Linked DNA regions of Nothobranchius furzeri. The main gene of each other region encodes a partner of the protein of the gene in region 3 in a complex. Links are inferred from orthologs where the notes say so. Each region holds a gene or a part of one and is shown on either strand. Other genes may lie near its edges.

What was found.
Region 1: aar2 (region 3) and prpf8 share a complex: the UniProt entries of both Homo sapiens proteins name them as parts of the U5 snRNP complex. The link is inferred for Nothobranchius furzeri from reciprocal best matches to the Homo sapiens genes AAR2 and PRPF8.
Region 2: aar2 (region 3) and snrnp40 share a complex: the UniProt entries of both Homo sapiens proteins name them as parts of the U5 snRNP complex. The link is inferred for Nothobranchius furzeri from reciprocal best matches to the Homo sapiens genes AAR2 and SNRNP40.
Region 4: aar2 (region 3) and cd2bp2 share a complex: the UniProt entries of both Homo sapiens proteins name them as parts of the U5 snRNP complex. The link is inferred for Nothobranchius furzeri from reciprocal best matches to the Homo sapiens genes AAR2 and CD2BP2.

What each region holds. Positions count from the first base shown.
Region 1 is NC_091753.1:37,699,936-37,705,588, reverse strand, and holds part of prpf8 (pre-mRNA-processing-splicing factor 8), read left to right. Parts: coding exon 1-116; intron 117-321; coding exon 322-528; intron 529-1,477; coding exon 1,478-1,641; intron 1,642-1,716; coding exon 1,717-1,843; intron 1,844-2,030; coding exon 2,031-2,223; intron 2,224-2,331; coding exon 2,332-2,519; intron 2,520-2,604; coding exon 2,605-2,843; intron 2,844-2,950; coding exon 2,951-3,097; intron 3,098-3,228; coding exon 3,229-3,439; intron 3,440-3,563; coding exon 3,564-3,680; intron 3,681-3,768; coding exon 3,769-4,016; intron 4,017-4,099; coding exon 4,100-4,279; intron 4,280-4,413; coding exon 4,414-4,549; intron 4,550-4,777; coding exon 4,778-4,947; intron 4,948-5,049; coding exon 5,050-5,179; intron 5,180-5,251; coding exon 5,252-5,398; intron 5,399-5,479; coding exon 5,480-5,640; intron 5,641-5,653. UniProt on the Homo sapiens protein: Plays a role in pre-mRNA splicing as core component of precatalytic, catalytic and postcatalytic spliceosomal complexes, both of the predominant U2-type spliceosome and the minor U12-type spliceosome.
Region 2 is NC_091759.1:20,971,811-20,978,174, forward strand, and holds snrnp40 (U5 small nuclear ribonucleoprotein 40 kDa protein), read left to right. Parts: upstream 1-2,657; 5' UTR 2,658-2,790; coding exon 2,791-2,901; intron 2,902-3,525; coding exon 3,526-3,655; intron 3,656-3,728; coding exon 3,729-3,822; intron 3,823-3,914; coding exon 3,915-4,080; intron 4,081-4,191; coding exon 4,192-4,314; intron 4,315-4,634; coding exon 4,635-4,755; intron 4,756-4,828; coding exon 4,829-4,911; intron 4,912-5,056; coding exon 5,057-5,118; intron 5,119-5,212; coding exon 5,213-5,316; intron 5,317-5,390; coding exon 5,391-5,440; 3' UTR 5,441-5,566; downstream 5,567-6,364. Other genes in the region: zcchc17 (zinc finger CCHC domain-containing protein 17), read right to left, coding at 1-30, 236-378, 466-566, 667-758, 859-959, 1,584-1,722. UniProt on the Homo sapiens protein: Required for pre-mRNA splicing as component of the activated spliceosome. Component of the U5 small nuclear ribonucleoprotein (snRNP) complex and the U4/U6-U5 tri-snRNP complex, building blocks of the spliceosome.
Region 3 is NC_091755.1:59,903,105-59,909,173, reverse strand, and holds aar2 (protein AAR2 homolog), read right to left. Parts: upstream 4,019-6,069; 5' UTR 3,822-4,018; coding exon 3,056-3,821; intron 2,966-3,055; coding exon 2,736-2,965; intron 2,306-2,735; coding exon 2,138-2,305; 3' UTR 1,917-2,137; downstream 1-1,916. UniProt on the Homo sapiens protein: Component of the U5 snRNP complex that is required for spliceosome assembly and for pre-mRNA splicing.
Region 4 is NC_091745.1:8,819,413-8,825,531, reverse strand, and holds the start of cd2bp2 (CD2 antigen cytoplasmic tail-binding protein 2), read left to right. Parts: upstream 1-2,221; 5' UTR 2,222-2,318; intron 2,319-2,398; exon of another isoform or gene 2,399-2,612; 5' UTR 2,613-2,619; coding exon 2,620-2,694; intron 2,695-4,973; coding exon 4,974-5,103; intron 5,104-5,238; coding exon 5,239-5,396; intron 5,397-5,475; coding exon 5,476-6,031; intron 6,032-6,106; coding exon 6,107-6,119. UniProt on the Homo sapiens protein: Involved in pre-mRNA splicing as component of the U5 snRNP complex that is involved in spliceosome assembly.

The DNA.
Region 1 (5,653 bases), on a different chromosome or scaffold from region 3:
TTATGCACGACATCCTGGACATGATGCCTGAGGGTATCAAACAGAACAAGGCCAGAACCATCTTGCAGCACCTGAGTGAGTCCTGGAGATGCTGGAAAGCAAACATTCCTTGGAAGGTAAGTTTCTTAGTTTCCTTAGACTTAACCACCTTTTCCATTTTGAACAGGCTGTATTTGTTGTGGTTCCTCTAAATGAATGATTAATTTGTTTTTGGTAGTACAACATGTAGGAAAACCTAAAGCCAATTTAAGACTTGCAGGAAAGTAAAAATAATTTCAAAGTCACGCATTTGCATTACAGACGGGCTCTTCTCTCTTTCAGGTGCCCGGTCTCCCGACTCCCATTGAGAACATGATCCTGCGTTACGTGAAGGCCAAAGCCGACTGGTGGACAAACACGGCTCACTACAATCGTGAGCGAATTCGCCGTGGAGCCACTGTGGACAAGACTGTGTGCAAGAAGAACCTGGGCAGACTGACCCGTCTGTACCTGAAAGCTGAGCAGGAGAGGCAGCACAACTATCTGAAGGTAACAGCAGATTTTATATTTTGTTACAGATCTCATCTGTACTCTATATTTACGTGTTGTTCTGCAACGTGAAACAGTAAAATGACCTAAAACAAAACCAAAGCTTTTATTTTGAAGTCCTCTCACAAAGGCACACTTGCATTGGTCAGCTTGACTGTGTGTAACAACCAGAGGAATGAGATGAATGGTCAGGTCAAGTTTATTATATAGCCCATTTCATACTCAACGGTAGCCCAATGTGCTTCACATAGTTAAAACAATCACAGCTTTAAATGTCACATCATGTTATGCATAATAAAACCAAGGAGTACTGATACAGGACATAGTACACAAAAATAAAAGCATACCAAGTAAAAATTTTACTAAAACTTATAAAAGAACAAAGCTGCACAGACTAGTTATAAATACCAAAAACATAGAATAAATTTAACAACACAGGTTAAAAAAAAAAATAAACCAAGTAGACCACAGATAGGTTAATGGAAGGCATCATAAAAAAGTTTGGTTTTTAATCTGGATTTAAAAATGGAAGTGGTGGGAGAGGTTTTTATGTCTTTATGGAAGACGGTTCCAGAGACGGACCACATAGCAGCTAAAGGCAGACTCTCCGTGCTTGGTGCGAGCTCTGGGTTGTACCAATAGGTATTTTTCTGCTGACCTAAGTGATTTAGAAGGGCAGTACTTTTCAAACATCTGCTATATACAGCGGTCCTTGGCTATTTAATGATTTAAAAGCAAGTAAAAGGACTTTAAAAATCAATCCTGTAAGTTACTGGTAGCCAATGCAAAGATTTTAGGATTGGTGTGATGTGATCATTTCTTGGTGTTTCTGTTACTGCTGGCTGTAGCTGCAGTTGGCCCCTCGCTGTTCGGACACTGGTGCATTCAGGTCTAATTAACCCAATCACTGATGTTGTATCTCTCTGAAGTGTGTGTTTTCTACTTCCAGGATGGTCCCTACATCACAGCAGAAGAGGCCGTGGCCATCTACACCACCACGGTGCACTGGCTGGAGAGCCGGCGGTTCTCCCCCATTCCCTTCCCTCCTCTGTCCTACAAACACGACACCAAGCTGTTGATCCTGGCCCTGGAGAGGCTCAAGGAGGCCTACAGGTGGAGATGTTTAGAACATTGTCAGCTTTGATGTTTGTCCAGTATTTATGTAACTGACGTCCTTGTGTCTTTTAGTGTGAAGTCTCGTCTGAACCAGAGTCAGAGGGAAGAACTGGGTCTGATCGAGCAGGCCTATGACAACCCCCACGAGGCGCTTTCCAGGATAAAACGTCATTTACTCACTCAGAGAGCGTTCAAGGAGGTCAGCTTAAATCAGTGCAGATGTTTGGAGAGTTTGATGTTTCAGCTTTAAAGTACAAAACCATAGAAATGTTCCTCTAAACATTTAAAATTCCTCAGATCATTTTTTATAATCAGAAGTGAATTGACTTTTTTCACCTTCCATGTTTGAGTTTTCTATCAGTGTTGAGATATTTTCTTCTCCGCAGGTTGGTATTGAGTTCATGGACCTGTACAGCCACCTGGTGCCCGTGTACGACGTGGAACCTTTGGAGAAGATCACCGACGCCTACCTGGACCAGTACCTGTGGTACGAAGCAGACAAGAGACGTCTTTTCCCTCCGTGGATCAAACCTGCCGACACAGAACCGCCACCGCTGCTGGTCTACAAGTGGTGCCAGGGTAACGCCCCCCAATAAAAATGCACTTCATTACACTTAATCATTCAAGTAAAATTAATGGTTAGGAAAGGTCTCCAGTTTTCAGGAGTTCATGTTTGTTTATTTTCAGGCATCAACAACTTGCAGGATGTGTGGGAAACAGCGGAGGGAGAGTGCAACGTGATGCTAGAGTCTCGCTTTGAGAAGATGTACGAGAAGATCGATCTAACGTTGCTCAACAGGCTGCTCCGTCTCATTGTTGACCACAACATTGCTGATTACATGACGGCCAAGAACAACGTGGTGATAAACTACAAGGTGATCAGGGTTTACTCTTCTAGAACATGATGCTGCAGGGTTTTATCTGGTCCTGATGTGCTGTTGTGTCTCGTCCTGTGCGTAGGACATGAACCACACCAACTCCTACGGCATCATCAGGGGGCTCCAGTTTGCTTCGTTCATCGTTCAGTATTACGGTCTGGTGATGGACCTGCTGGTGCTCGGCTTGCACCGCGCCAGTGAGATGGCCGGTCCGCCTCAGATGCCCAACGACTTCCTCAGTTTCCAAGACACGCCCACAGAGTCTGCCCATCCCATCAGGCTGTACTGTCGTTACATCGACCGCGTACACATCTTCTTCAGGTGGGCACCAGAATTAGAAGAGGATGTTATATTTTATTTATTTATTTTTTACTTTTATTTTGCTCGACCAGAGAGTTTCAGAAAGTCAAAACTGTTTAATTCTTCAGGTTCTCTGCTGATGAAGCCAGAGATCTAATTCAGCGTTACCTGACAGAGCATCCAGATCCCAACAATGAGAACATAGTGGGCTACAACAACAAGAAGTGCTGGCCGCGGGACGCCCGCATGAGGCTGATGAAGCATGATGTCAATCTGTGAGTTTTTACTAAGTATTTATATTTGCAACCAGTAATTTGTTCACTTGGTGCCATCGTTTGCTAACAGTTTGAATTATTAAGGGAAATCCCTTCTGAGTTTAAAACGAGTGTATTAATCATTTCCCCAGTGGGCGAGCCGTGTTCTGGGACATCAAAAACCGCCTCCCAAGATCTGTGACCACGGTCCAGTGGGAGAACAGCTTTGTGTCGGTCTACAGCAAAGACAACCCCAACCTGCTCTTCAATATGTGCGGCTTTGAGTGTCGCATCCTCCCCAAGTGTCGCACCAGCTACGAAGAGTTCACTCACAAAGATGGAGTCTGGAACCTGCAGAATGAGGTAAGAGTGAAGTGGCAGAGACCTAAGTGTGTGGACGTGACTTCTGTGACAAATAATCGATCATAAATGCAAATGGCAGTTTATCTTTTTATTAATCTGAAGTTCCTTGTTTGTTCTGGTGCAGATAACTAAAGAGAGGACAGCGCAGTGCTTCCTGCGTGTGGATGATGAATCGATGCAGCGGTTCCACAACAGAGTGCGTCAGATCCTGATGGCTTCTGGATCCACCACTTTCACCAAGGTTAGAGGAAGCCTTTATTCTCACAACTTGCAGATGCAGAACGGTGAAGAACAGTCTGGTAAATCTGAGTGTTTTGTTTTTATTCTAGATTGTAAACAAGTGGAACACCGCTCTGATCGGCCTGATGACGTACTTCCGTGAGGCTGTGGTCAACACACAGGAGCTCCTGGATCTGTTGGTGAAGTGTGAGAACAAGATTCAGACACGTATCAAGATCGGCCTCAACTCCAAGATGCCCAGTCGTTTCCCTCCTGTCGTCTTCTACACCCCCAAAGAACTGGGAGGTCTCGGCATGCTGTCCATGGGTCACGTACTCATCCCGCAGTCGGACCTGCGGTGAGTCCCACACAGCTCTGCGTCTCTGAATACAGTAAAAATTCCTGAACATATCGGCTTAATGATTCTGCTCCTTTCTCCAGGTGGTCCAAGCAGACAGATGTGGGCATCACCCACTTCAGGTCTGGAATGAGCCACGAGGAAGACCAGCTCATTCCTAACTTGTATCGTTACATCCAGCCGTGGGAGAGTGAGTTCATCGACTCTCAGAGAGTCTGGGCAGAGTACGCCCTCAAGAGGCAGGAGGCCATCGCCCAGAACAGGTACCCCTAAATCAGATCGGCCTGATGAAGCAAAAAGCATCTTCAGCAGATTTTGTTATTTTGAGCTACTAGTCTACGTATCTAAGGAACTTTTATTGTGATTAGTCTTAGTGGTTTATTTTTGTTTGTTTCAGGCGTCTCACCCTGGAGGATCTGGAGGACTCGTGGGACAGAGGAATTCCCCGGATCAACACCCTTTTCCAGAAGGACAGACACACTCTGGCCTATGACAAAGGCTGGAGAGTCAGGACTGATTTCAAACAGTATCAGGTATGAGGAACGGGGTGTGTTGGTGAATTCAAAAGGAACGTTTTGGTTAAATGGTTTAAATATTTATAAGGTTTTGTCATTTTAGGGTGTTTTTAAGCAGATTCAATTCATGCTCCTCAATACCAGATCATTGTGAATTTTATGCTAACGTACATAAAACATTAAAAATGTTGACGTTATTGTGAGAAAACAAGTGTAATCCTGGTCATGCTTTGGTCTTGCCTGCAGGTGCTGAAGCAGAATCCATTCTGGTGGACTCACCAGAGACATGATGGGAAACTGTGGAACCTGAACAACTACCGCACAGACATGATCCAAGCTCTGGGTGGTGTGGAGGGCATCCTGGAACACACGCTCTTCAAAGGCACCTACTTCCCCACCTGGGAGGGTCTCTTCTGGTGAGGCTGCGTTAAAGAGAATCTACGTGAAATGGTCGTTTTTTTGTTTTCTGTTATTTTGTACCGTTTTTGATTTTTTATTATTATTTCTCTGGCGATTAGGGAAAAGGCCAGTGGCTTTGAAGAGTCCATGAAATGGAAGAAGCTGACCAACGCTCAGAGGTCTGGTCTCAACCAGATCCCCAACCGTCGCTTCACTCTCTGGTGGTCGCCCACCATCAACCGGGCCAACGTTAGTATAAACATCAGCAGTTGGAACAATCATTTAAGAACCATTTACAGAATATTTTCCCTTCCTCTGCAGGTGTATGTGGGTTTCCAGGTACAGCTTGACTTGACGGGAATCTTCATGCACGGCAAGATTCCCACTCTGAAGATCTCCCTCATTCAGATCTTCAGGGCTCACCTGTGGCAGAAGATCCATGAGAGCATCGTCATGGATCTCTGTCAGGTAGGCTCTGATCCATAAACTCGCACGGAGAGAGTCGTGTGTTCCGATAGATTGGGTAAATGTTATGTTTCTGGTTGGCAGGTGTTTGACCAGGAGCTGGATGCTTTGGAGATTGAGACGGTGCAGAAGGAGACCATCCATCCCAGAAAGTCCTACAAGATGAACTCGTCCTGTGCAGACATCCTCCTCTTTGCGTCATACAAGTGGAACGTCTCCCGACCGTCTCTGCTCGCCGACTCAAAGTAGGACATTTAA
Region 2 (6,364 bases), on a different chromosome or scaffold from region 3:
CTTTGTCTTCTTCTTCTTCATTTTCTTTTCCTGCAGCACAAAAAAACACACACACAAAAAACCCATCTTTGTGACTGCACAGGTATCAGAGAAACGGTTTCACTACCTTAAACTACGTCACCATTATTCTAATAAATCAGCAGAAAAATCAAAGTTTGGCTTTTCTAAACATCTTCTCCTGAAACCACGGACATGCGAGGACACATGAGAGCGTGCCAAGTTGGTTTGTAATCACCTTCTTCTTCTTTTTCTTTTTCTCTGAATCTTGCTGAGGTGCTGCTGCCGACGTCTGCTGCCTCAGCGGCTCTTCGTCGTCCTCTTCAGGAACGAGGGCGTACTGCAACCCCGGAGCCGAGAAACAGTCCTTAGTAAAGTGGCCTGAAAGACGTAAAGAGTTAATACGCAAACCTTAAGTAAATAAAATATGTTTTGAAGTGAAATCTGTTTTCATCTGTAGTTTAGTACCTTTGCAGCCACATTTTGAACATGTGGTGTTGAGTACGGCCTCCAGTGTGATCCTGTTGCTGCCCTGATCTCTAAACTGCCTTCGCCGCCTTGCATCCTGCCTGCAAACACACACACACACACACACACACACACACACACACACACGACTATAACAGGTCTGTTAAAAACACACACTCATACACAAATGTAGACACTCACTCCGCTTGAACATTGTTGGGGTCCAGGTCCCTCCCTGTCCCTTGATTGACAGCTTTCATTGAGAAGGACAACTTCACCTTCTCACCCTGAATCTGAGAGTCAGAGGGCAGAATTTTTATTTGCTGCAGATTCAAAGTAAGCATGTGTGTGTGTGTGTGTGCGCGTGTGTGTGTGTGTGTGTGTGCGCGTTACCTCCCGTCCGATGACTTTAATCCACACCTGTTCCCCAACATCCACAATCTCTGAGGCACTTTCAACCCTAGAGGCAGACATCTCGCTCACATGTACCAAACCTGTGTGTGTGTGTGTGTGTGTGTGTGTGTGTGTGTGTGTGTGAGAGAGAGAGAGAGAGAGAGAGCAAAGAAAGAGAGAGGATTTTTAGTGTGCCTCAATGGATTTCAGACAAAAACAGTTGAGCCAAAATGACCTGAAACACAAATAGATTCTTGTTTAGATGATCTGAGATCTAAACATTTCCTTAAATTTAATTTAACTTAATATTAAGACCTGAATAATACATAAAAAGCACCTATATTTTGATAATAAATACTCAAATTAGAACCCAAACCTTTTATCTTTTTTCCATCTAGTGGCAAAATATTTTAGGGCAACCACTAAAATTAGAATTTATCATCAGAGATAATGAAGTATAAAAAGTTTGGGACAAACTTCTTCCTATTTTAGCCGTTGATGCTTCCCAGTGCTGCATCTGCTACTAAAATTATAATATATGGTATTAAATGAAAACGTTTTTTTTAAATAAAAAATATAAAGTTAGCTGTAGTCATCTAATATCTCCTATTTTTCTTTTTACAGATCCATTACTGCTTTAAAGGACTCACTTCACTCAGCTGGTTAATATTACTAATACTGGTATTTCATTTTTAAAGATTACAAGCTCTCAGCCTTCTACCAACCTTCCTTCCTGTAACCAGGCAGTCGAACAAAAGCTCCATATGTTTGCACTGAAACCACCTCTCCCTTGGCGATGCTGTACATCGGAGGCAGACCATCCAGCCCGGCTGGTTCTCGACTCGAGCGGTCACGGTTGGACATCGTCTCAATCTGGGCAAACAGTTGGAGGATTAAATATATTTCAATTCAATAACACAACACAGATAAAAGACGAAAGACGAGGAAAAGTTAAAGAAACCCAAAATAAAAGCAATATTGTTCCTTTTACAAAGTAACAGAATAAATTTAAGTATTTATATTGTGAATAAAAATTATTAAATAAAAATCCATAAAACTACTTTCTACGACAACTATTATGTTTTCACAAGTCAGGAGTAGGCAATAAATCAAGTTCAGTTGAAGTTATCCTTCAATTAAAATGTTTTTTCTTCGTTTTCATTAAGAATTAAGCTCAAATAACCCAGTTTAATAATATTAAAACTAGACTAAAAAGACCAGCCATGGTCTAAATTTTATTTAAACGGTAACTGCATATTTTCTAACACTCCATACATGTGAAACAGACTGAGAACCAAACACAAAAAAATAAATAAAAACAAAGAACACAGACAAAAATTGCAGCTGTCAGATTTAAAGAAACTAGGCTAATCTCAAAAACGAACAAATAGAATTATTAATATTGTAAATCAGTTTTAATTTTCAAAACATGGATTTATCTTACCTCAAACTTCACTTTCCATTACATTAATTCGAGCGGAGTAAAAACTATAGGAGACAATATCTCTGGAAACATGAACAGGATAAACGCAACACGAGCATTGGTGTTTACATAAAACCCTCTAACCTATTCCTGTTAAACTGCTCTATGATACATTAGTAAACCAGACAATTGTGCTATAATTAATATATTTTGCGTAATGTGACTCTAACTCTTAAGAAATAAAAATAATTGCAATACCTTTTCCACCGACTAAACTGTGCTAGTTATACTTCCAGGTCAAATTGACGCCAGGAAGAAAATCAGCCAATCACTGCAGCCTGCGCAAATTTCCACCAATCACGAGCTTTGAACCCGGAAGTACTTCAGTGTCTGTCTTCTTTGGTGGTTTTGTTTCCTCAGACGTCTTTCGTCGAAGACGTCCGTTAATTTTACTAAGTTTTAGCTTTGCATTTACTCTATTTAGCCGCTTTTTGTTAACTTTCCCCGCAATGATTGAACCTCTAAAGAGACCCGGAGACATGGCGATGGTTCCCACTGCGCTGAAGCGGCCACGGATGGAGCTAGTAGCGGCGGCTCAGTCTCAGCAGCTCGTGGCCACGGTAACGTAGCCCTGGTGACATCCGACTGCGTTTACATTCAAGATTAAATCATACTTACCACCTTTATAGTAGTTATGTTTTTAAGTTTGAGAAAAGGGCAAGCTATGCTAGCCGGGGACTTATGTATTCATTAACCGGACCATGTAAGCAGATTTAGTCACGTTTTCATGATTAATGTAAACATCAGAATAGTTGACAATAGAATTCAATATGCAAAAAAACTATTTTCAAGAGCGTGTTGGTTATTGTAATTATGTATTTTATTGGTAACAATATTTATTATTAAAACAGCCTTCCTTTTTAATATTTGATTCAAATAACAAAGCATATATAATAAATAAATAAACTGTCAAGATGATCAGAGTTCACTTGTGCATCAAAGGTAAAATATATATACACAGATATCACCTTTTATCATAATGCAAGCTTAAGGAAACACCAGATTGTAATTGCCACTGGTGCAATTAGGATCTACTTCCAGCTCCTACATGATTAAAGGGAGCATTTACTTCACTCTCTTTGCTAGATCTCAGCAAGTCATCCAGCTCGTATGCATTTAAAGTAAAGTACCACTTGTTGTTTCTGCACCATAATGCTGCAAACCTAAATCACTGATCCCCATAGGGCCATCCACGCACCTCCAGCATGCAGGCTCCCATCATGTTGATGTCTGGCCATGAGGGGGAGGTCTACTGCTGCAAGTTTCACCCCAATGGAGCTGTGTTGGCCTCTTCAGGATTCGACAGACTCATATGTAAGTTTGTGTCAAACAGTAGCAGACATATGTTTGTTAAAACCGCTTTAAAATCTCTGTTACCATGCTGCAGTGTTGTGGAACGTGTATGGAGACTGTGAGAATTACGCCACCCTGAAGGGTCACAGCGGAGCGGTGATGGAGCTGCATTATAACACAGATGGCAGGTAGAGACGGTGGAATATGATCAACTAATATCTGGTGGATTATTGCGGAACTTGAGTCAGAAGTGTGATACAGAGGTGTCTGTGTGGTTCAGCTTGTTGTTTTCAGCCAGCACGGACAAGACTGTTGGCGTGTGGGACAGCGAGACAGGTGAGAGGGTCAAACGTCTGAAGGGACACACCTCCTTTGTTAACACCTGCTATCCAGCTCGCCGAGGTCCTCAGCTGGTCTGTACAGGAAGCGACGACGGGACGATCAAGGTCAGGCTGTTTTCTGGGTGTTTTGCTGTGAAAATGAGGTCCAACACACACCGTTCACACACACCTACATTGTTGCACGTTTTGTTTAGCCTGATGTTTTTTGTTTTCTAGCTGTGGGACATCCGCAAAAAAGGAGCCATCCACACCTTTCAGAACACCTACCAGGTTCTGGCCGTGACGTTTAACGACACCAGTGATCAGATCCTGTCTGGAGGCATCGACAACGACATCAAGGTTAAAAAAACAGTTTTTCTTAAAGGGACTCATTAAACTGTTTATCTTGAAGAAAGTCAGACTAAACATTTTAATCCCTTTAACAACAGCAGATGGTTGCAGTGATGCTCTGTTTCAGCCATTTTAAAGTTGATTGACTGAAGATGTTCAGTGAGATTTATTGTCAGCCCTTGGTTGTTTACATTTTTGTTTGCTTCAACTCCAAACGCAAGTTTATTTTTTGTTGATTGTTGCAAAAATGTGAAATGTCGAAGGCAACAAATCGGCTCCAGCCTAAAATTCTCTCCTGGTCGTTGATCTGAAAGCTTTGTGTTGCTCAGGTGTGGGATCTGCGACAGAACAAGCTGATCTACAACATGCATGGACACGGGGACTCTGTAACCGGGCTCAGCCTGAGCTCCGAGGGGTCATACCTTCTGTCGAACTCCATGGACAACACTGGTATGCTCGGCTTCTGATCCTGCTCATCTGTGCTTGAATCGCATCCCTCAAAGAGTCTCGCGTGTCTTTGCAGTGCGAATTTGGGACGTGCGGCCGTTTGCACCCAAGGAGAGGTGCGTGAAGATTTTCCAGGGTAATGTTCACAACTTTGAAAAGGTAATCTTCACTAGCAGACAAATGAACAATTCACTTCTAGGTCAATCTGAGAAGTCGTACATATCTGGACTAAAGAAAACCGCTTTTTAGCTGTGAAAGCTCCGGGTCTGTGTTCTTCTCATGTCCTCTTTTCCTGTTTATTCAGAACTTGCTGAGGTGCTCCTGGTCCACTGATGGCAGTAAAGTAGCCGCAGGATCAGCCGATCGGTGAGAAACGCTTTGGTGACTTTTTAAACCCAAACGGAGTAAAGATAAGGCACTGAGAGCCACTTTTGTTCCCCGCTCTGTGCGTCTGCTACAGATTTGTGTACATCTGGGACACCACGTCTCGCAGGATCCTCTACAAGCTGCCGGGCCACGCCGGTTCTGTTAACGAGGTGGTGTTTCACCCAGAGGAGCCCATAGGTGAGCGACAGAACAGGAACCGGAACCAAACACAAGAAAAAGTCACTCATTTATTCTTTTCTGTGTCTTTGCAGTGCTGTCTGGCTCCAGTGATAAACGTCTGTACATGGGTGAAATCCAATAAGGTGTGTGTGTGTGTGTGTGTGTGGGTGTGTGTGGGGCGGGGTCTGCCTGTCTCTCAAGCTTTAGTTAAGACTAAACTTGTGTTTTTTACATATTTCTTTTGAATAAATGTCATTATTCTATAAAAGAGTTTATTTTTTTTATCTGAAGCACCGATTCCTCAGTAGGGGAGCAGGGAGCTGGTGTCAGGTCCAGCAGTCAGGGGACACCCTGCACATGTCTCAAGTCCTTCACAGGAAATGAATCGGTTGCCAGCACCAGCAGGAGCTTTTCAAGCAATATGGCGGAAAATGCCCCACAAAAATGACTCCTTTGACTCCTAAAACCAGGGTATCCGCGGGTCCTTAAAAAGTCTTAAAAAGTCTTAAATTTGCTTTTCCAAATTTAAGGCCTTAAAAATCCTTAAAAATGACAAATAATCCTTAAATACAGTTTCCAAAGGTCTTAAATTACCAAAGACCCAATAAACAAGATTATTTTATTTCTATAAAATTTTGGTGAATTTCTAGTTAGCTCAGGATTTTTTGTGTATGATGTTGGCGTAAGCGGAACTGTACAGATACGGTTGGTTGTGAAAGGGGGCTGTTTTTAGAGGAGCATGTTAGTGGGAGCTTGCGCCATGGGGAGGTGCAACATTAATGGTAACTGGATGGTTAATCCCACGTTCATGACGTGGTTAGCACCGGTTCCAGGCAATAGCTGGAAATTATAACTGAAATTTAATTTTAAAAAATAGCATAAATTTGGTCAAAGTGGCCTTAAAAAAGGTCTTAAAAAGTCTTAAATTTGGCTCCCTTAAACCTGCAGATACCCTGTAAAACAGAAACATTTGGGTGAAAAGGTCTTTTTAGTTTAGTGGACTCCGATCCAGTTTTCCAGAGTCGGAGATCTGAACTATTTTCTGGTTAAATACCGATAATAAAAC
Region 3 (6,069 bases):
ATCACTAAAAAAGCTGATGTTTGAGAAGAAATACAAATACAATGCAAAAAATTGCTGTTTTAATCCAAATAGGGACGCCAACATTTGATCCATGATTTAAAAATACTTATTTAACCAGAATTACAACATAAATGTACAAATGAATCCATGTAAACATAATAACACATTGGATTTGTTCAATCAGCAACAAAGTAACACCAAAATCAGTAAATTTATGGGCAGGAAGTTGCACACGTGCATGAGTGAGTGCACGTTTAGTGACCTCTGCCATGCAGAGGGATGGGTAGGGGGTGGCTGCCTGGTTGAGAAAAAGACACAGGCGCATGTGTTTACATTGGCAGAGTGAGAAGCCAGCAAGCTCCATGGGAATGGCACGCTCACGTCTACGAGGAGAGCTCCACCATGACTGACGGGCCCTGCGAGGCTTTGAGGTTCAGCCCAATCAGTGCAGTGTGTTTCTGACTGTGCTTTACTTTCTGGGTTAGCTGCACCAAACAAAACATTCACCACAGATTATTGCCGGAAAATATCTGTCATACCGGGATAACAGGAAGCTGTCCTCTAAAGGTGAAGGGGTGCACGCAGCACAGAAGAGAGTGATGAGTTGTCTGCTGACTGTGTGTCATTCCTGCACTAATGAAGGGTCTGGAATGCCAAGGACATCCCATCAGGGTCATTTGCATGGCTGTATCATTTGGCAATGTCCATAATTTTATCCCCAGAGAGGAAAATCCATCTACGAATCTTTGGCATGCATTCCCTTCCCTGTGTTGTGCCGATGTGTTTCCACCACGTGTTCCAAGCCATTCTCTCCATCTGATTGTTTTCAAAAGGGAAATAAAAACCAGGGACAGGCTGGGTTCACAAGACCACAAAATCAGAAATGCCGGGCATTAATTTGGGGGTGGGGTCACCAGTTACATTACTATCTGTTTCACAACAGCATCTGACTTCTGGGTAGAGGATGCATTTCTTGTTGTGACATTTGGATCTTCACCCACAGGAACAAACCATCCATTCACATTAGCTGCATTAAACGGCTTTTGTCCTTTTCACTGCAGCTCAGTGGTTTAAAACTGACTCATTGAACTTTAACGTCAACCAGGAGATCTGATTGGGAGTAAAAAAAAAGTTCAGGAGGGATAGGGGCTGAGTTGAAATGTGTGAAGTGATGAGACTGGACAAGATTTGTCCAATCAGATATTGGCAGGGGGACACAGAGAGATAGATCTGTGTTTGTTATCCAGATCCAGTCAGTGCATAACACACATCTTCTTAATTATCAGCTTATATGAAAAAAAAAAAGTATTTGATAGGTTTGAGGTTTGAAAACCTGGTAGGATCTTGAGGTGTTCCTGCTTTTATAAACAGAACCTTTATTGTGTGGTTTTTGAAAACCGACTAAACTAAAAGGAGCTCATAGTGAAAACCAGTCCTCCAGTTCCCCCTAGTGGACATGTTAAACATTCATGATAATTAAAAGAGGCTGACATTCATCCATCCATTTGCAGCCGCTTATCCAGAGTCAGGTCACGGGTCAGGTCAGCCTAAGCCGAGGCCCAGACTTCCTTCTCCCCAGCCACTTGGGCCAGCTACTCTAAGGGAACCCTAAGGCAGTGCCTGGCCAGCTGACGCAGTCCCTCCAGCGTGTCCTGGGTCTTCTCCAGGTTGGATGTGTCTGGAAAGCCCCTCACTAGGGAGACGTTCAGGGGCAACCTGACCACATGGTTGCTTTATATAAATATGTTCCCACTTTCCTGTTGGACAATAGTGCTTTATTTTGAAACAAATGTTACGCATATGATGTCTTGCATGTTTAGATTTGTTCATAGATTCATGAACTACTGTTCAAAACTTTCCAATAATGTGGTAGAATGTAAATGTTCTTTTGAAACAACTATACAAATAAAACAAAATAAATTGTTACTGACTTTATTTAATATAAAAACCACCAGACCTCAGATCAAACCTCTCCTCTCTCTGACTACATCACTACAGATGATTCGTGAACATATTATCTTCTCCTTATGAAAAGACAAACAATAGAAGACATGTTGGAACCACACAGAACAACCGTGGCAGTGTGCTGCTGTAGAACCGGTATGAGGCCAAGAGGAGAAACTGCACGATGGGAGAATTAGTCCACTGTGACGCCTTCAGGCAGCTCCACCACTACAGGTGCACAGTCGTCCAAATCTGCATCGAAATCCCAACGAAACTTCTTGGTTAGGTGGGTTTTGAACTTCTCTGCCTTCTTTTGTAGGATCCCATCCACACCAGGTCCAGTGGCAAACTGGAAAAAATCCTGCAAGATAAAAAGTCGATTTAATAATCCCCAATGAAGAACACCAGTTTGAGATCAAATAGAAACAAAATATGGGACCCTAATTCTTGCTCTAGTAGATTTTCCATCTTGTAGCTGCTTAAAAATCATTTTGAAAGAAGAAAAAAAAATTGAAGACAGATTTTAAATGAAAATATTACTTAAAGACCTCGTTGAAAGGATTCATGTCCCCTGCTACCTTTTATAGTTTTAAATGAAGGCTGGAAATGCTGGAAAATGATGGATATCCGGTCTGAAATGTACAAGTTGTTTGTTACATTTATAAACAATTTAGGGTCACAAGAAATAAAAACATGATGTTTGTGCCTCTAGTGACAGCTCTTTTCTGATTCAGAAACATTTTGAATATTTCCCTAACATTGTGCGTGCAGCTGTTGCACATCTGCTGTACCTGCAGCGTGCTGGTGAGGAAGTTGTTCTGTGACACAATGTCAACAAAGAAGTCAGGAGGGACTTCTCCGAGCTGGTGGTAGAGCACAGTGATGAGTCCCAGATAGAGCTCCTTCCTCCTCCTCATGGCCTCCTCCGAGCGGCACAGCAGAGCCAGGAGGCTCTTCCAGTGCTCAAAGCCCTCGTACACATTCCCAATCAAGAAACACACAAAAGCAAACTGCAGCTCACCTGGAAGAGATTTGAGATTCAGATATTTAGTTGCATAGGCATTAGGCAGTTGCATTCTTGTAACAGTGCATTAATCTTTGTGACACAAACCAAGCAAGTTTAGAGGCTGGTTCTCGTATTTCTTCTCCAGAACCCCCTCCAGGGCATAGCTCAAGTCCATGCTGCATTTCGTGATCTCAGCTGGAGTAGCCCCAGGAGGGTAGGTCTTTTTGGGAATAACTGAAAAGCGCAGTTCAGTCCCTTCTCTGTGCTTCATTTTGGGAAGCCTGTCCAGTCCCTCTTTCATGCTCTGGCAGGCCGTGTCGTTCCTCGGCTGCTCTGCCCTGTCTTTTGTGTGTCTGAACTGAAGCTCGGGGACGACATCACTGAAGGCGCAGATTCGACCCGTCAGAGGCTGTAAGTCACTGGCCAGCTTCTCGCTGATGTGATCGGTGAGAGACACCCACTTCCTCATGACCTCATAGGGATAAGGGCCCAAGAAGGGATCCAGCTCCCGCAAAGTCCCCCGGATCCTGTTCACTTCCTCTTCATTCCTGGAGGCTGAGAAATCCAGATCTTCTTCTTTGGGATCCCAGTTGGCCAGGAGAATTTCTCTTGGTTTCAGGGTGAGGAAAAGACCCGTTTTAGGACCGATTTCTCCACCACAGCTTGGCGAGTTTACAGAGCAGTAATGGAGGAAGTGTAAACCAGGGGGGATCATCTTAACACCACGAAACCGAGGACCAACCTGCCAGCTTTTGCAGTCAATCCCAAGCTCGGTGCCCTGAGGAACACCCAGCAGAACCAAAGTAGCTCCTTCTTCAAATAACGACCAAGCAACATCTGGATCCATGTTCGAAGAGCTGCTGCTGGCCATCTTTGTTTACTACTAATCTACAAACTATATTTACTGAGAAACATGCGTAAATTCTCTCAGGTGCTACGTGAGCTGTTCATCATTCAAGTGTTTCCGTATTTGAACGCGAATGCTAATTTTAGGGTTTTAAAGTATCTTATTTAAGCAGCGAAGATTATCAATAAAGTAAAAAAAACTAATTACATTTCGAAAAACCCCATTTTACGGTCTACGCGTCCACTTATAAAAACAAACTGTACCTACAGTTACACTAGTGGACGTTCCAAACAACAACGCTGCTATTTCGTTTGCCGGAAATCTGTGTAACAAAATAAATGCTCAGGGTGGAAACAGTGTCTCATTAGAACAGTTCCGCTCTTTTGCACAACTTGGCCTCCAAGTTTTTCTTAATATATCTTTTTAGAAATTTAGGTTTGGGAAAATGAAGCAATAAAAAGATTTTAAAGCAGATTTTTTTCGCAGTGGCAGAATTGATGCTGTAATCGCTTTTGCTATGTAAAAAGCCCAACAATGAGCAAAACTCGCTAAAATAAATTTATAAGACTGTTTAAAAACTATTTATTTTATGTACTCAGGATTAACATTTTCCATTGCAGTACATTTATTTTACATTGCCCTTTAAATTAGTAAGATTATATTCTGGCAAAATTTCATTATAAAATGTTTTACTTATTATTATTGTCAATATTTATGTTGGACTGTTCTATGCAATACCCATTGGAAGGAGTGATTGTGAACAAGACTGATTTGGAAATGTCGAAAATATTTCAATTGGGTTTTTAGCTTAATAAAAAAGACAGCTAGAGGCTGCGAGTTCCTCTCTTGTTAACTCAGACATGTCATGTTTTGTAATAATTTACAGGAAGTGTTTGCGCTAATTAAATTTTTGTGATTGCTCTTTCTAGTCCTCCATCATCCCCAATAAGACAAAAATGGGATGTTTTTCATAATAATAATAATAATAATAATAATAATAATGATGATGATGATGATGATAATGATAATGCAAAAAAGTTTTTTTTAATTGAACTAGACTGTAGTTCATCTCTGTGCCACCAGAGGGCATTAATGTCCCATCTCCTCTTCTCTTTTAAAAGCACCAGTTCCTTTGAATTATTAAAAAAATAATTTGCAATGGCCTTTTGGAATTATCAAAGGTGGGACTCTCTAAATACTAACTAACATTAAGAAGAGAATAATATAAATTATTTTTGTTGTTTTCTTAATATTTTTATGAAGAAAATCTGACATTGAATTCACAGGATAACACACAGAGACACATTTACGTTTGACTCACAAACACATCACATGAGACTTTGAAATGTGCATAATGCTGAATATTTGCATTTAGCTTATTTGTGGTTACAATGAAACTATAACAACATAACAAGGAGCAATGCTAACAAATGCAGAAAGAGCAAGAACACTAATGAGAACTTAACATTCATGTTTATTATCAGCTATCTTTGCAAAAAGGGTCATATCACGGTGCTGTGAATATACTTAAACTGGTGTTTTTGTGAGAAGTTACCAGTCACACCAGACCCTACTTAGATTTGTAGCTGCTCTGAAGTTTTTGCCAACAAGTAATCAGTAATTTGATTATGTTGATGAATAATTTCCTCTTCCTCTTCTTTCCTTGTATTTTCCGAACAGTTGAGCAAGAAGTTGTCTCTGTCTTAAAGAATGCAAGAAGAAACATAAGGCTTGCATTGTCAGTCATTGAAATTAAAGACTATAAACCTGAATTATTAAAGTAATTTTGCTACCAAATAAGTAGGATTGCAGTTTTGAAGGATGAGCTGCTCCATGCTCTCAACTGGCTTCTCCAGATCAGATGTCTGCTTCCCACTCCTCTGACACCTTATCTGCTGCGTCAGACCATAGATGGACACCAGGATGTGACCGACCTGCCAAAAGAAGGAAAAAAATAAAGTTGAGAATCTTAAACAAGTTTTATATTTAACAATGTTGAGGAAGATTTTAATATTTCCTTAAATGTCCTGCACTTGACAGACCTCTAATATGAGATTATCAGTACGTGTGAAGTACCCTCTCCATGGTGCTGAACCTGAAGGACGTACTGGGTCACATAACATAACAACATCAAAGACTTATTTGTAAGAATGTCTGTAAACAGTATTTTTAATAACAGCAGAAAGTTGGAAGATTAATAAATTGAACTGAATTTTATAGATATGATTTAGGTGCAGCCAAGGTGTTGGGGGGGGGGTCCATTTTTTGTGGC
Region 4 (6,119 bases), on a different chromosome or scaffold from region 3:
TCCCAAGGCGTTCCCCGGCCAGGTCCGATAAGAAGTCCGCTCCGACAGCTTCTGGCATTTTTAAAAAGTATCCCAGGGGCACAGTAAGGGTCGGAGATGTCTATTTAATTTCAGACTATATAAAACGATTTCTTCGGTTTTAAAGTGTGAAGTAAACTCCGACGAAGTAAAATCCAAGCCGAACCCGTTAATTTTGTTTACATTTGTTGCCTGCCAACATGGCGTCTACTCTCTGAGGGTCATGTGACATCCGGAGCTCTATAGCCCAGATGGACACTAAATGGAGGAATGCATACATTTCTGTCTGGCCTGGAGCAAGGACCACAGAGCAGCCAGCGGAGTTTCATACAAGCCCCTGGGTCAACGGAGCCACAGCGATGGCGTGGGAGCATCTGGAGGAGTATCCATCAATCTGGAATACTTTGAAGGGTAGAAAATGTCTTTTTGGGCTTTTAAAGATTTTTCATGTTTTAAATTTTTGTTTTATTGCATCTGAGGTTCCCAGTGAATGTGGCGATCCCACTGCGGTGGTGGCATCTTGTGTGTGTGTGTGTGTGTGTGTGTGTGTGTGTGTGTGTGTGTGTGTGTGTGTGTGTGTGTGTGTGTGTGTGGGTGTGTGGAAAAAGTGGGCATGCAAAGAGGCATAGAGCAATACATTTTACCGTACATTCAGTTGATTGAGTCAATGGTCAAGAATTAATAAACATAGAATTTTTCCATAACTGCGGAGCCCCTCTGATGACATGGTCCAAAAAATAAATAAATTGTGGCCACGAAATACTATTTTGAGGGCACGAAATAGCTATAACGTGCCCACGAAATACTTATTTGTGGCTTATAGCTATTTCGTGGTCTCAAAATAGTATTTCGTGGCCTCAAAATAGTATTCCGTGGCCACAGTTTATTTATTTTTTGGGCCATGTCATCAGAGGGGCTCCGTGCATAACAGCAACTGCACTGAAAATAAATTTAGGATTGTTCTTATTCTCCTCAATTGGCAATGAAAAATAAGCAGTTCTGCTTATTTTTACAAAGCACGAGACTATATTTTCAAGATAATGACAAATAAGCAGTTTTGCTTATTTTTACAAAGCACGAGGCTATATTTTCAAGTAGGAATCCTCCCAGTGTGTAGAGCGCCATGTTCACTCCAATTTTCTAAAGTTCTGTTTTAAAGTTTGTAGACCAAGATTAAACCAGGGAGCCAACTTCCTTAATTACCTTCTTTTTAAAGGGGCAGCATAATCTAATGCTACACTATGAACTAGACCATCAATTAGTGAAGGACTAGAAATGAAAATATTGTCCTCTGCTACGTTCCTCTGAGATGCTGAGACAGTAAATATGGAACAGCGTTGTCAGATAGAGATTGACTATAGTGAAATTTACTTTCATGTTCAGAGAACTCAGCTAAAATGAACACAGAAGTTATCAGAAAGTGGTCTGAGAGGACTGGATTATGTGATAATATTGTTATTTCCTCACACTCTATGCCATAAGCCAGCACAAGGTCTAATGTATGATGGCAGGAGTGGGTGGAGTTATGTATTTTTTAAGTAAAATCAATTGATTAAAGGCCACATTGAGGATATCACTTTCAGTGTCAGCATGAATGTTGCAATCCCCCACCCCACTACAATGACCTTATCAGTATTTAGCACCAAATCAGATAAAAAAAATCAGAGATCTGATCCAAAAACTCAGAGTAAGGGCCTGGTGGATGATGCAAAACTACAAACAAGAATGGTTTTACCGTTTTACAATCTGGATTAGGAAAACTAAGAGTGAAATGTTCGAAAGAATTGTAACCATTAATTGGTAAAGGATTGATTAATAGGTCTGAATGAAAAATGGTTGCTACTCCTCCTCCTCGCCTTGTACTTTGAGCAATATGATGATGTCAATAATTAGAGTCGACTCATTTAAACTAACATAGTCCTCTTGCTGCAGCCAGGATTCTGTGAGAGAGAGCAACGAGATCTGATTATAACAAATCAAGTATTTAACTAACAAAGTCTTAGAAAAGATAGACCTAATGACCCACATTTATTTGTTCTAGTAAGTTGCATTCATTTTTTTGTTCTTCCAGGGACCCATGTACTGGAAGTAGATGGGCGTGACTTAGGATCCCTATACTTTTTTTAAACATAAATCCAAATGTTCCACCCACATATTAGAATTTATAATATATTTAATCAGGAGTTTAAATCTGAACGCCAGCTCCCACTCCTCACCACGTGGTGGCGGTAATGCGTCAGTCCATGACGAGGAGCAACCAAAGAAATGAAAACGAACGAAGCTTGATTTATTTTCAGCAGGTTGTTTACCTTCTTACCACGTTACATCGTTATGTTTTCTTTATACTTACCTTCTCATTAATCGTTGTTTTGATGTAGCTTATATTAGCTGTGCATCGTCACTTTCCGTCATTTTAGATTTCTAGATCCGTTTACAACGTTCTGCGTGTGCAATGTGTTGTTGTTTTTGGCTAATGTAGCAACAAGCTAACACGAGTTTCTTTTGAATGACATAACGATGAATTATCGCACAGCTGATAGTTTAGCTGGCTTTCAGTGGCGACCGTAAACGAATCACTTTATTGTCTTTTGTAGTGTCACCATGTCGAAAAGAAAAGTCACGTTTGAAGACGGGGTCGGGGAGTTTGACCTGGAAGACGAGGGTCCAAATAAGAAGGTGATGCATTTAAGGTTATAAAGAAAGAGTTGAGTGTGGAGGTGTCAGTGGTTAGTTGGAAGCCCTAAGTCCAGGCCGTTGACTTGTCTTAAATAGTTTTGGATTAATACTAATTTATTGGTAAAACCCGGAAGGCAGTTGTCTAACATTCTGATATAAAACTAACAAAGAAACTTAAATACTTGGTATTATAATTGCTTCCGTGAACCAAGTTAATCTCTTACACTTTTAGCATGTTTACCTATAAAAGTCTTATCGTTTACTCAAGCTGATGCTTACATTGCATTGCTGTGTGTGTGTGTGTGTGGCCTACCACAAGAGCTGCAGATCATCTTATATACTGCTGCAGTCGAATCCATACTTTGCTCATCCATCACTGTCTGGTTTGTGTCAGCCACAAAAATGGACAAATGCAGACTACAGTGTATTATTAAAACAGCAGGAAAAATAATTGGTGCCCAGCTGCCCTCTGTCCAGGAACTGTACATCAGCAGGACCAGGAAAAAGGCAGTGAATATTGTCCAAGATGCCACACATCTTGCATCTACTCTCTTCCATCTCCTCCCATCTGGCAGACGCTATAGATCACTGTACACAAAAACTACCAGACACAAGAACAGTTTCTTTCCTTCAGCCATTTCTCTCCTGAATCTGTAGATTCTTTTACCATCCTTTTATTATAGTTTTTTATACTTATTCAGTATGCTTATGGATATGAGTGAGTGTGTGTGTATACATGTGTGTGTGTGTGTGTATATATATATATATATATGTATATATATATGTATATATATATGTGTGTGTGTGTGTATATATATATATATATATATATATATATATATATATATATATATATATATATATATGTGTGTGTGTGTGTGTGTGTGTGTATGTATATATATAAAAATATACGTGTGTGTGTATACATGTTCTTATGTGTTTTTTATGTATTTTTATTCTCATTTATTGTAGTTGTTGTATGTTTTAGAGAGCGAACATCTACCGAAGCTAAATTCCTTGTAAATGTAATTTTACTTGGCCAATAAATCTGAAATCTGATCTGATTCTGTGCTGTGGTTACTAGCCTGGTTACAGATTAATGTTTCTGCTGTTTTTTACACATAAACGTGTCAGATCAGCTAAACAAAAACATGTTAAAAAATAACCCGAGTTAATACAAAATTCAATTTTCAAACAACAGAATTAGCTTTTGGGCCTTGGCCTTTTGCTATGACACTTGTTTACCCCCCAACTGGAGGGCACTTGGGCTGAAAAAGGCTCTTCAAAGCAACCTGGCCCTATGAGCAAAACATGATTGACTCCTGATTAAAACAACTGCAATCAAGCTTTTGTGATCATGGGTGATGAATTGTTTTGATGCAGTGGAGTGGAGCTGTTCAGGCGTTCTTCAGAAATTTCCGGTAGTGAGCAGAATTTTGCTTGTATGATTTTTTTCACAGCTCTTAAGTAAGATTACTTTTAATCAAATTTATGATGAGCACCCCCCCGGATAATCCTAAACCCTCCAACTCGAAGGCTCCAAGTATGACCTATTTTAACCTATTTTGTCCTACATCATTTTACATTCAGTGTTGCAGCAAGTAGACTCGCACAAGGCCTCTGCACAGAAAATAAATATTAAAATGAAAGTAAAATATCAGTATTAAAATGAGATATACAATTACAACAATATACAATCAAAACATGAAGTGAGTCGGATAACAGTTCAGTCTTACAGGACTATGCTTTAGCATATTTCTGACTCAAACGTGCCAAATCCCATACAGCAGCTGAATGCACCATTTAAACAAGTTGAATCAGATCTCTGTACTATTTTAGACTTTTTGCTGCTGGCATGTCTTATAAAGACTTTATTGAAACAGTTTAGTAGCAACAAGAATGGTAACTAACAATCTTCCATTTCAGTTTTCCACAATTCTCAGAATATTGTACATTTCCTATTTATTCTGAGTGGTTTGCCTTTTGAACTAAAGACTCTTTATTTTTTTAACCACTCATATCTTTGAGTTTTCTATTTTTCTATCACTTTCAGCAAATTGTTTAACCAGTGACACATTAATGCCTTTGTTTTTTACAGCAAAAGTAGTAATAGTGGTACTTGTGCCGCAGCACTGACCCATGGGTTTAGGGGTTTGTCTTCAGACACAATGCATTTTTACTTTTAATGCAAAGATCAGAACTTTGCTTTTGACTCTACGTTTACTGGTTATACTGCTATTTTGTATTTAGTTCATCATTTTCTTTTGCTGTAATTGCAGAGCTGTGAGGCTGTCAGTGGACCAGGCTCCAGGTTTAAGGGTAAACACTCCCTTGACAGTGACGAAGAGGATGATGGAGAGGACACAAACAACAGCAAATACAATATTCTTGACAATGATGATGTGGAGGGTATGTCTTGTTAAGTATTTCCATTATACTTTTGAAGTTGTAAACTGGGTCCAGTTTTCCTTAGGCTGTGTGAAGCAATGTTTTTTGTTAAATGCTTTTTGTGGTGAATTGGGGTGGTGCCACCTTTGTTTCCAGGCCAAGAAGGAGCGACTATTGACTTTGACGAAGGAGTTTCTATTACACCTTTCAACCTGGAAGAGGAGATGCAGGAAGGCCACTTTGATTCAGAGGGAAACTATTTCATCAAAAAGGAAACACAAATTAGAGACAACTGGCTCGACAACATAGACTGGGTAATTGCATTCTCAGACAAATGATTATTTAATGGAAGCTCTGCATTTTGCAGTAAGTGAAGTATCTGTTTTCTTGCAGGTGAAAATAAAAGAGCAGCCTATTAAGAAAAAGAAAGGTCTTGCAGCCAAACGGAAACGCAGAGTCGGTGATGAAGATGAGGCAGAGGAAGAGAAACGAAGGGAAGAACAGCAGGCAAACCAGGAGGATGAAGAGGAGGAGGAGATGCCTGCAGAGGACCCGTTGGCTGCCTACACTCAACAGCAGCTTGTTGAAGCTGTTGTTGAACTGCTGCAGCCTGGAGAAACGGTCGCCGCGGCGCTCCGTCGGTTAGGAGGCCTTGGAGGGCGCAAGAAGGGAAAGCTGAGAGAAGAAAACCAGTCCACAGAGGAAGCTTCAAGAGACACGGAAAAGCTGGATAGGCTCACAGCTTTAGCTGACAGGCTGGTTGGATCTGGGATGTTTGAAATCTATCAGCAGAGCTATGAAAAACTGGCCTACGTGATGAAAAGCATGACCAGCAAGAAGCCAGCAGTGAGGCAGACGAAAAGTGACGATGAGGAAGAAGATGAGCTTGACATGTTTGGTGATAAGTTTGATGAGAAGATTGGTGAGAAAGAAGAGGATGACAACCAAGGTTCTTTCCTTCATGCTTATAAATGATTAAGTTCAGAAGAAGGTTACTTACCTCGATTCCCCTTTTTCTTCTCAGTGAGTGATGAAGT